Linked DNA regions of Callithrix jacchus. The protein of the gene in region 1 interacts with the protein of each later gene in a pairwise test. Links are inferred from orthologs where the notes say so. Each region holds a gene or a part of one and is shown in the gene's direction. Other genes may lie near its edges.

Evidence for each region. The genes of interacting proteins can lie anywhere in the genome.
Region 2: the proteins of STAC3 (region 1) and SREK1IP1 interact in binary tests that used the Homo sapiens proteins (3 or more experiments, as listed by UniProt). The two-hybrid records come from large-scale screens. The link is inferred for Callithrix jacchus from reciprocal best matches to the Homo sapiens genes STAC3 and SREK1IP1.
Region 3: the proteins of STAC3 (region 1) and EAF1 interact in binary tests that used the Homo sapiens proteins (3 or more experiments, as listed by UniProt). The two-hybrid records come from large-scale screens. The link is inferred for Callithrix jacchus from reciprocal best matches to the Homo sapiens genes STAC3 and EAF1.

The regions. Positions count from the first base shown.
Region 1 is NC_133510.1:62,460,608-62,463,833, forward strand, and holds the end of STAC3 (SH3 and cysteine-rich domain-containing protein 3), read left to right. Parts: intron 1-882; coding exon 883-949; intron 950-1,128; coding exon 1,129-1,178; intron 1,179-1,468; coding exon 1,469-1,554; intron 1,555-1,714; coding exon 1,715-1,766; intron 1,767-1,854; coding exon 1,855-1,992; intron 1,993-2,182; coding exon 2,183-2,281; 3' UTR 2,282-2,636; downstream 2,637-3,226. UniProt on the Homo sapiens protein: Required for normal excitation-contraction coupling in skeletal muscle and for normal muscle contraction in response to membrane depolarization. Required for normal Ca(2+) release from the sarcplasmic reticulum, which ultimately leads to muscle contraction.
Region 2 is NC_133503.1:144,792,862-144,796,516, forward strand, and holds part of SREK1IP1 (protein SREK1IP1), read left to right. Parts: intron 1-1,442; coding exon 1,443-1,586; intron 1,587-3,655. UniProt on the Homo sapiens protein: Possible splicing regulator involved in the control of cellular survival.
Region 3 is NC_133518.1:54,233,506-54,237,160, forward strand, and holds part of EAF1 (ELL-associated factor 1), read left to right. Parts: intron 1-52; coding exon 53-147; intron 148-2,205; coding exon 2,206-2,342; intron 2,343-3,207; exon of another isoform or gene 3,208-3,311; intron 3,312-3,655. UniProt on the Homo sapiens protein: Acts as a transcriptional transactivator of ELL and ELL2 elongation activities.

The DNA.
Region 1 (3,226 bases):
GTGCCTCTGGTTAAGAACTCCAGCCATAGATTGTTTTCTCAGCTCACTACAACCTCTGCCTCCTGGGTTCTCCTGCCTCAACCTCCTGAGTAGCTGGGATTACAGGTGCATGCTATCACACCCAGATAATTTTTTGTATTTTTAGTAGAGACGGGGTTTCACCATATTAGCCAGATGGTCTTGATCTCCTGACCTCGTGATCCACCCACCTCCGCCTCCCAAAGAGCTGGGATTACAGGTGTGAGCCACCACGCCCCGCCCCTGGGTTATATTCTAAGGGAATTATTATAAAAATTGTGCTATTATTTTTTTGAAGATGGAGTCTTGCTCTTGTTGCCCAGGCTGGAGTGCAATGGTATGGATCCAACTCACTGCAACCTCCCCCTCCTGGGTTCAAGCAAATCTCCTGCCTCAGCCTCCCGAGTACCTGGGATTACAGGCATGCACCGCCCGGCTAATTTTGTATTTTTAGTAGAAATGAGGTTTCTCCATGTTGGTCAGACTGTTCTTGAACTCCTAACCTCAGGTGATCCACCCCTGCCTTGGCCTCCCAAAGTGCTGGGGTTACAGGCGTGAGCCACCGCATCTGGCCATGCTGCTCATCTTTACTTACACACTGGAGTATTTTTAAAGGTTGACAGCATAGTCAAGGACCTGGAGTCTGGTAGTGAATTCCCTGTCATTTAGCTACATTCAAGCAGAATGTGGGTGACCCACCTGCCAGGATGTTTTAGAGGAAGGCAGGTGGCTAGACTAGCTATTTCCTCCAAGGCCTCTTCCAACCCTGAGATCCCATTATTCTATAGTTATCTGACCTGATTAGAGAGCGCTAGTGCATGGATTCCCAAGACAGTGTCTCCCTAACTCTGGTGCCCCCTCCAGCCTCTAGCAGCCATGATGGAGGAGGAGCCAGAGTCTGCCAGACCAGAGGAAGGCAAACCCCAGGATGGTGAGTGTCACCCACCTCCATCCAGAGATGGAGTAGGATCAGAGGCTCAGCTGTCGAACAGAGGGTGGAGGAGCAAAGGGCAGGCCAGCTTTGGATAGATGAGGCCCTTCCACAGAAGGGTAAAAGAGTAAGAACTGCCCTCCAGGAGACAGACAATTTGTTGGTGTTTCCTATCCCAGGAAACCCTGAAGGGGATAAGAAGGCTGAAAAGAAGACACCTGATGACAAAGTGAGAATCCTTCCTCCCTACAAGGACCCTGTCCTCTCCTCAACCCAGGTCTGACACCACCACTCATGGTCCAGCAGAAGCTCACTCTTTAACTCCTAGACTTCCCATCACCCTTGACCCACTCGCTCTATCACCTTGCACACCCACCAACAACCAAAAAACTCCTCTCAGTTCAGGGAACTAGAAGAGAGTTGGAGTGCAGAGTGTGTGGTGAATGCCCCTGCCTTGGAATCCTGCCCCTCAGTGTGGGGTAGAGGAGCCCAAGACTCATCATTCCCTTTCACCCCCAGCACAAGCATCCTGGCTTCCAGCAGTCTCATTACTTTGTGGCTCTCTATCGATTCAAAGCCCTGGAAAAGGACGATCTGGATTTCCCGTGAGAGGCCTTGGGGCAGGGGGCTGGTACTGTGGAGTGAAAGGGAAAGAGCTGGATTCCCCCAAGGAAAAGGGAGAGGGTGACTCAGGGCTTGGAGACTTGATCCAGGGTACAGGAGGGGACCTGCTATGTGAGTGAGGCCCTTCCCTTCCCCTCCCAGGCCGGGAGAGAAGATCACAGTCATTGATGACTCCAATGAAGAATGGTGGCGGGTGAGAGAAATGGCTAGGGCTAGGGTGGAGTGTGGGTTGAGTCCAGAACCCAAGATTGAGAGAGGACTCTCCCGACTATCTTCGCTAGGGGAAAATCGGGGAGAAGGTCGGATTTTTCCCTCCAAACTTCATCATTCGGGTTCGGGCTGGAGAACGTGTGCACCGCGTGACGAGATCCTTCGTGGGGAACCGAGAGATAGGGCAGATCACTCTTAAGAAGGACCAGGTAGGCTGTTGCCCCAGGTTAATGCCCCAGGCTAATCCAAGGCCTGAATGCCCCCTAGCCCACCACACTACTTGGAGAGCTTAACCATTAATGAGACTAGGGTAAGCCCCTGTAACCCCGGGCTCCCCTGCTGTCCTTTCCTACCGTTTCCTTTGATTCTTCTCCTACTTCTGATCCTTTAATCCTCTAGATAGTGGTACAGAAAGGAGACGAGGCTGGCGGCTATGTCAAGGTCTACACCGGCCGCAAGGTGGGGCTGTTTCCTACCGACTTTCTGGAGGAGATTTAGGCTTGCGGGCGCCCGCAGGCGGGAGACACCCACACCCATTCTGGGCGGGCCCAGTGGAATTTGGGGAGGGGGCGAAAGCAACAGGACTGCTGGGTAGATAGGAAGGCCTGCCTGAGCATGACAGGGCTTCTGGGAAGGGACTGGTTCTCGCCCCCTTCCCCAGCCTGGGGCCTCGGACACCTGCTGCCCAGAGCAGCCCGCACCTGAAACCTTTCGGGCCCCGCTTGCAAGAGCTGGAAGACAACGCATATCCACCAGGAGGAGCGAGGGACTTGGGGAGGAGGAGGGCAGGGGCGGGGGTGCGTGAACTGTCGAATGTTGCAAATTTATTAAAGTTTTGACAAAACGTAGAAAAGTTGTTCTTTAACTGGGGTTGAGAAGGCCTGCAGAGGGGTGGAGAATACCCCTCTGGATCATCCCTAACCCGAGATCCATCTGGGCTGAGGTTGACGGGAGGTGGGAAGACAGATGCAGCTGCCAGGCGAGGCCTCTGTTGTCAGTGAAGAAAGGGGAGCGCGGGACCCCCGCGCCCCAGAGGCTGGGAGCAGGATCTTGTAGTAGGGTAAGTCCCCCTTGTTCTTGGCGTTTTCGCCACGGGCAACCCCTTGCATTTCGGAATCTGGCTTGGAGCCCGAGCTAGGCCGCCAGGGGGCGATACAAGATCTCGGTTGGAGAGCGAGGGATGGGGAGGGGTGGAGGGTGGGTAAGGGGAGAGAACTGGAGACACCAAGCCCGAGACCCTGGGCCTGGGAGGGGGTGGGGTGCGTGCTGTCTCCATGGTAACACTTCCTCAAGTCCTCGGGGAACCGAGCTAGCGAGGCCAGGGGCCTAACCCTTCCCGTGCGGCCCCTGCCCTAACCCTTTCCGACAGGTACTGAGTGAGGACGCAGGGCAGACAGCTTCCTGGCTCTCACGAAGACACCCCTGCGGAGCGCCGTATGCAAA
Region 2 (3,655 bases), on another chromosome or scaffold:
AGATTGGAATATAAAGATCAGAATTTATATCAGAGAGTCTCTGATATAAACCTAGGCCTCCCAAAGGTTTTCGCCTACAAAGTAAGAGAGAACTAGAAACAAATTCTAGCATAGACTTGTAGTGAATCATTAGTGGATCGTGAAATGAATTATTTGGTCACCATTAGCATTGGTTTTTTTGAACATTGAATGTAGAAATCCTTCATGTAACTTTTGTTTCAGTTTTTGTGTGTTAGGGTGTATTTATCCATGAATATGTGTGTGAGTGCACTTGGTTGCATTATTTTTCATTGTTCTCAATTGTTAAGAAAATTTGAAAGCTGTAACCCTAGAGAAAACCTAGTACATGTGCACAAAGAGACATGTACAACTAATTTCAACATTATTTATAGTAGCAAACTACTGGAAGCAACCTACATTTCTATCAGTAGTACGATAAATAAATAAATATAATTTTCATACAGTGGAACATTATCGATTAGATAAAATGAGCAAATTATACCTGTTTTCTTTAACATAGATAAATCACAAAATACTTGGTGGTGGGAAAAAACTTGCAGAATAATAGGTATAATTGAGTTTATTTTTTTGAAAAAATACATATCACAATGTTTGAGAATGATAGAGACCAACTTCAGTGCAGTCACTTCAGAGGACAAAAAAAAAAATAGGATGAGATTGAGAAAGTGTTCCAGAAGTTGATTCAGGCTCTCCAGCTGTGTGTGTGTGTGTGTGTGTGCGCGCACAGGCATGTGAGTGAGCTTTTCCCTTAAACAAATTTACAGTATGCCAAAATGTTAATATATGAATGATAGGTATTTAGGTATTGGTTGTATTATTGCCTGTACTTTTATGGTGTTTGTAATATTTGGCTTTCTAAAGCAATCATATGTAAGTAGATAACTGTTGTAGTTTTCTTATAGGGTAGAGTCTTTAGAGGAATGATGCAGCAATTAAATGTTTAGGTATTCTTCAGTAAAGCACATTCAGTTGTATTAATGCTTGTCTATTATGTCAACTTTAATTAGATGAAAGTATATAATTTTGTAAATATATTAGTCATACTGGGAAAGAAAAAGTATGGGTAAGGAATACAGTATAAAATTCCAAATATGATGCTTTTTAAAAAAATTTATTTAAAAAATTACTGTATTTTTAGAAAGGGAAATAGAATAACTCAGTACTTTGAAATCCATAAGAAGTGGTTTCAAAAAATGCTTATTGAATAAGGAGTTCTGAGGACAAAAGGAAAAAAATTCTTTGAGTATTATATTCATGAAAAAGTATAGGGAAAATAAACAACCACCAACTGATTAAAAGTTAAAGCTTTCTACATTATATTATTGAAATTGTAACTTCTTGGTTACAGTGAAGCAGCAAAACAAACAACAATATATCATGTATCTATAGCTTTATCAGTCACATTTTTTTGTTTCATTTAGCTGGTCACCTGACTTTTGAATGCCGCAATTTTCTCCGAGTAGACCCTAAAAGGGACATCGTTTTGGATGTCAGCAGTACAAGTAGTGAAGATAGTGATGAAGAGAATGAAGAACTGAATAAATTGCAAGCATTACAGGAAAAAAGTAAGCAATAATTTTTTTTCATTCTTTAGAAATGTTTGTAAATGTTCTGTCATATTATGTCATGCTTATCCTTTACACTTATCATTAAGAGCTCTTTTATAGTTTAAGAGCTCCTGCACAGGAAATGGGTTTTAAATATTGTAAGTTATTTACCTAAGATTGAACCAGCTAATCAGTTATGGATCCAGGAGGCAAGTCTATTTCTGATACACAGCTCATGTTTTTTGTTGTTGTTTTCCCCCTATCACATTAGAATATGTGTCAAATGGCTGAAAAAATGTTATTTAAGATTTGGTTCCTAGTCCTATTTGGCAGTTTGTTTTGGCACGTGATTTGCACCAAGTCACTTAACCACTCTGAGGTTCAGCTGCCTTTTAGGGTAACACAAAATATTGGATTGTCAAATCATGCTCATGCAGATCAGCGATCTTAGCCAGTATCAAGCTTCACTAATAATTTCAAGTATACAAGTGATCATGAGGCATAGGCAAAGCAGAGAGTTCTAGGCATGCCAATACAGCTCCCCAGGTATTTCCTTTCTGCTTCAGAATCCATTCTGATTAATATTAACGGAAGAACTTTCTTTATTACTTACACCAAAGAAAGTTGATTTGGTCATAAAACATACTCATTTTATGCTTGGATAGTTACATTTTCCAGAGAGTTATGCCCCATTAATCCATAGATTCCAGGTTTGTTTACCATAAACAATCTCAGTTGCATCCTACTGAAAGTATGTAAATAATAATTATATAAATAAGGATTCTGTAGCTAACAGATATCATTTATTTTTTTTCCAGGACATTTGTTGTTAGTGTTTCAGAGAAATTTCTCCAGGTCTGTCTTTCCTGGGCACATCCTCTTCTCTCCCTAGAGAGAGAGTGGATTGTAGACCTATTATTTAACCCTTTCTTTTTCACATTGTATATAAAATGGCTCATCCTTGCTGTGGGGTTTTTAGGGATTAAATGCGATGCTATAAATGAAACTACTTTGTAAACTACAGATTGTGATGTGATAAATATCACTCTGAAATAAAATATAACTTATTTGAATATGATCTTAGACAAGGAATGACAGTTGCAAATTTTAGATTCATTTTAGTTTAGACTATCAATGAATAGTAAACAATAAATTTTGTTTTTAATGTCAAGCTTTCCATATTATGTCCAGTTAAGATAAGTGAAGAAATCAAATGTAAGGTGCTAGAACAAGCTGAAAAGGAAAAAGAAGGAAAGAATCCCAAAGACAGCAAACAAGAGTCATATCATATACGAGTATATACAACTTCAGGGTAAAGATAATTGATTGAATACACACTCTTACTTTTGTTCTCTACTGAAATACCACTAAAATGACAGAAGTAGAAAATTCAAAAGCATAAACTTACAAAGGCAAAGAAAATGAGCTAGGAAGGAATAGCAGTAAAATTTTGGAAACTGAAAAGCACATGGGTGAGAACTGATTGCACTCTTGAAAAAGCTAAATTTTTTAGCAGTATGGAAAGCTATGGAGTAACCTGATATACATTTTAAAATCCCCTAAAGACATGATAATTAGTATCCTTGGGGTTGAATATAAGGCTAAAATCAGGAAGATTGGTTGGAAGTCTCCAGGAGTTAGATCTTCAGTTCCCTTCCTCTGTGAAGACAGATGAGTTCCCTTCATCATCCCAGCAGACTACTGGAGGTTTATTTTCTACACAAGGTAAAACATAGGTTCTTTAAATTGGTACACACTAACCATAGCTGAAAACAGGGAGGAAGTTAAAGGCTGAGAACTTTTCAGCCCTCCTCACCTATTTGATTCCCAGACATATATCACAATTAGTCTAGGAAATACTTCACTCAAATGAGTCCCACAAAGAAAATTTCCAAGAACTGAAGGACATTAGTTTTACAATTGAAAAGTTTCCACAAGTACCAAACACAGAGCTAAAAATAGACCCACACAAAGGCACAGCATTATAAAACTTCATATCACAGGGAACAAGGAAGATACAACCCAGACTTCCAGGATCAGGGATTAAACAGGTTATCAGTCTAAGATCAGGAGTCAATAGATTTCCA
Region 3 (3,655 bases), on another chromosome or scaffold:
GCCTTATTATTAGTAACCTGGGGGATAAGTGCTTTGTTTCCTTTCCCTTTAGATGATTTTAAACCAGCATCTATAGACACTTCCTGTGAAGGAGAGCTTCAAGTTGGTAAAGGAGATGAAGTCACAATTACACTGCCACATATCCCTGTGAGTTTATTTCATTGTTTTTTTTAAATGTGGGATCACAGTGAATTCTTGTCATTTATATTGTTGCAATTTAAACTTCCTACTTTTAAAAATGTTTAGATTTCTAAAGTGGCAACATAAGCAAAAAAGGGATTTGGGGGAGTGGGGTGGGGTGGACTTCATGCTAGGCAGGTGCTTGATTAAAAATAATTCTTGTAATCCTAGCACTTTGTGAGGCGGAAGTGGATGGATAACTTGAGCTCAGGGGTTCAAGACCAGCCTGGGCAATATGGTGAAACCCTGTCTGTACAAAAAATACAAAAAATGAGCTGGGGGTGATGGTGCATGTCTGTGGTCCCAGGTACTTGGGAAGCTGAGGTGGGAGGATCGCTTGAGCCTGGGAGGTAGAGGTTGCAGTGAGCTAAGATCATGCCACTGCACTCCAGCCTGGACGATGGAATGAGACTCCCTCTCATTAAAAAAAAAAAAGATTCTTTGTCATTTTGCCCAAGCTTCCTTTTCTTCTGTCTGCTACTGAGTAGACAAGGTTCCTGTTTGGACACCTAGCCCCACTTTTGATATAGCTTTTCTCCCAAGCAACTCTAGAGAGAAAAGGTCTAGGCGCCCTGCTGATTATATGGCCACAACAGCTCAGGAGTGTGAGGCAACCAAGCCAGGAGTTAAGGCAGGCAGGAGCCAGAGGTTTGGCACATTCCACTGATGTAGGGATGGAGAACTAAGTTAAAAGCTGGATTAAGAACCCTTGCAGAGAAAGACTTTTGTGAATTAGCGCCCAAGGCAGCACTAATCACGAAGCACCAGAGGATCACATGATGCTCTTAGTGAACATGTGTTATTGCATGTCACACCCCATGCTGGAACGTAAGTTCTTGGTAGCTGGTGACAGAATGAAAAGTCTCTAGACAGGGAGATCTGGAACGCTTTGTACTGAGGAAAAATGGTCTGCCCATTCAAACTGCTGTTTGATTACTTTTTGGCTTTGGCAGGTTACATCATCTCCCTTTGGACCTTAGTTTCCCATATGTAAAATGAAAGGTTTAGATAAATGGTCCCTAAAGTCCTTTCTAGCGCTATAGTTTGCTATATAAATAAGCAAAGAGCCAAGTGGTTTTTGATTCTAAGCAAGGCATTAAATACTATATTTGACAAATATTAATGAATGCCTCCCACACATTGGCCCGTCACTAGGCATGAAGAATACAACCTTGAACAAAACAAGCACATTTCTTGCCCTTGTGGAGCTTATGGTCTGGAGTTTAAATAAATACTAGAAAATACAGCAGTTATTCTAAATCAGGGGCGGCTTCCTTAAGGAAGTAACCTGTGAGCAGATCTGGAGGTTGGATAATTTAAAGAGAGCTGGCAGGATATAGCCAGAGAAGCCTTGTTAAAGCCCAGAGGCAGGAGAGAGCTTGAGGATCTGAGAGAAGCCAATTGCCTTCTGCTTTGAAGCACATGCCCAGGGGCATCTGCTGCAGGGTAAGGTGGAGAGCCAGGGAAGGGCCCAGTAGTGCAGGGTTTCCTGGCTAGTTTAAAGATTTTATCCTTTGGCTTGAGAGCAACTGAGGAGTGATTGAAAGGCTTAGGCAGATGAGTGACCTGACTGATTTATTCTGAGCCAACCAGGATAATGACCTGCTCTTGGAAAATGCTCTGTTGGTTGCTTGCCTTGAGAAGGGGAAACCTTGAACTCTCTAATTTCGAAGAAATAAAGGGATCACTCACAGTTGTACCATATAGAGTGATAGCTCTGCTTAGTATAATGCAAGTAATAGTTCATTTGTTTTTCTCTCTCGGAACATATACAGTAATTTAAAATTTTTATACTACCTTTCTTGACTACTTAGAATGCATTGCACATTTACAGATTCTTGCTATATTATTTCTCCTTTATTTTTGCCTGGGAAACCAGAAGGAGTTAAAATAGAAATCAGTTCAGTCTATTCTTTTTAAATAGCTCGAATAAAACATTTCATCAGGTAGAGTCATCTGTAAATTCAGTTGGTATTCATAACTGCTATGTTTAGTTTGATCATCTTATACTTTTGTGGCAAATAGGGATCCACGCCACCCATGACTGTGTTCAAGGGGAACAAACGGCCTTACCAGAAAGACTGTGTGCTTATTATTAATCATGACACTGGTGAATATGTACTGGAAAAACTCAGTAGCAGCATTCAGGTGAAGAAAACAAGGTATGTGAATAGCTAGATGCAGGTTTATATCATGTTTCCAAACCTGTCTTATCTATTTAGTTTTTATAAGGTTGTGAACATCTGCTTCCTTATAGTGTTCTGTCAATAATCTTAACAGCTCTACCTGTGTCTTCTCAGACAAATCAGTAAAATATGTCTTACTCAAATATAATAAAAAGAAATAATGTTTTTAAGACCTAAAACATGGGAACCATTAGGGAAAGCGATGTACTTTATAATTAAGCCAATTCTGTTAATCTCATGATTGCTACAGTACCACCTAAGGAATAAGATAACTTATAGACTTATAATTATGAAAGAATAATATATACTATGCTTCATTGGAGTGAGGACATTAATTTTTTACAAGATATATTTGAGATCACTATAATACCAAAATAAAACTTTGCCTGTTTTTTAATATAGTGAACTCTTTAATTCAACAGTTATTACATGTCTAAAATGAAGCCAGTTAGAGTTAATTTGAAAATAAAAAATGCATTCTATAAATAGAAATAACTGAGTGGTTCTATTTTTTACCTTATAATACAGTATTATTAAGAGTCAAGGTCTCTTGCTCTGTCATCCAGGCTAAAGTGCAGTGGCATGATCATAGCTCACTTATAATACAGTAATTATTATAATACAGGAATTAAATTATAAAGATTGTCACAACCTGATTTTCTTTATGTTTCAGTAAGCCATTTTTTTGTCCCTTACTCATTGCACAGAAAATGAAAATAGGTAGCATTTATTGAGGGGCTGTCATGATGCCCCAGGCTCTGCTAGATGCTTTCCGTGCATTGTTTTTGCTAACAAGTAATTTTTAGAAAGCTGCTATTATTATTTTTTACCCCTTTTTATTAAAAATATGGAGTGCTTCATGAATTTGTGTGTTTTCCTTGCACAGGGTTCATGCCGATCTCTGTATTGTTCCAATTTTAGTATATGTGCTGGCGAAGAGAGTATGAAAGATGTATGATTATCTTTAAAAACAAAAAGAACATATGGAGACCGAGGGTTAGAGAGCTAGACCCACCCTAGAAAGTGTGCTGCAGAGTCCTTGCTCCTGCCTTGCCACTCTGTTTATTTGTGTTCATTACCTACAGTGAACCAGGTGCTACTGTTACTCCTCCAATATCTGATGGTTGTGGTCTATCCCCTTACTACTCAGTGTGATATGGGAACGAACAGCATCATATCATCTGGGTTCTGTTGGACAGGCAGAATCTCAGCATCTATTAGATCTGAATCCGCAGAGATCACCATGTGATTTGTGCATATGCAAAAGTTTTACAAGCACTGAGCTAGTC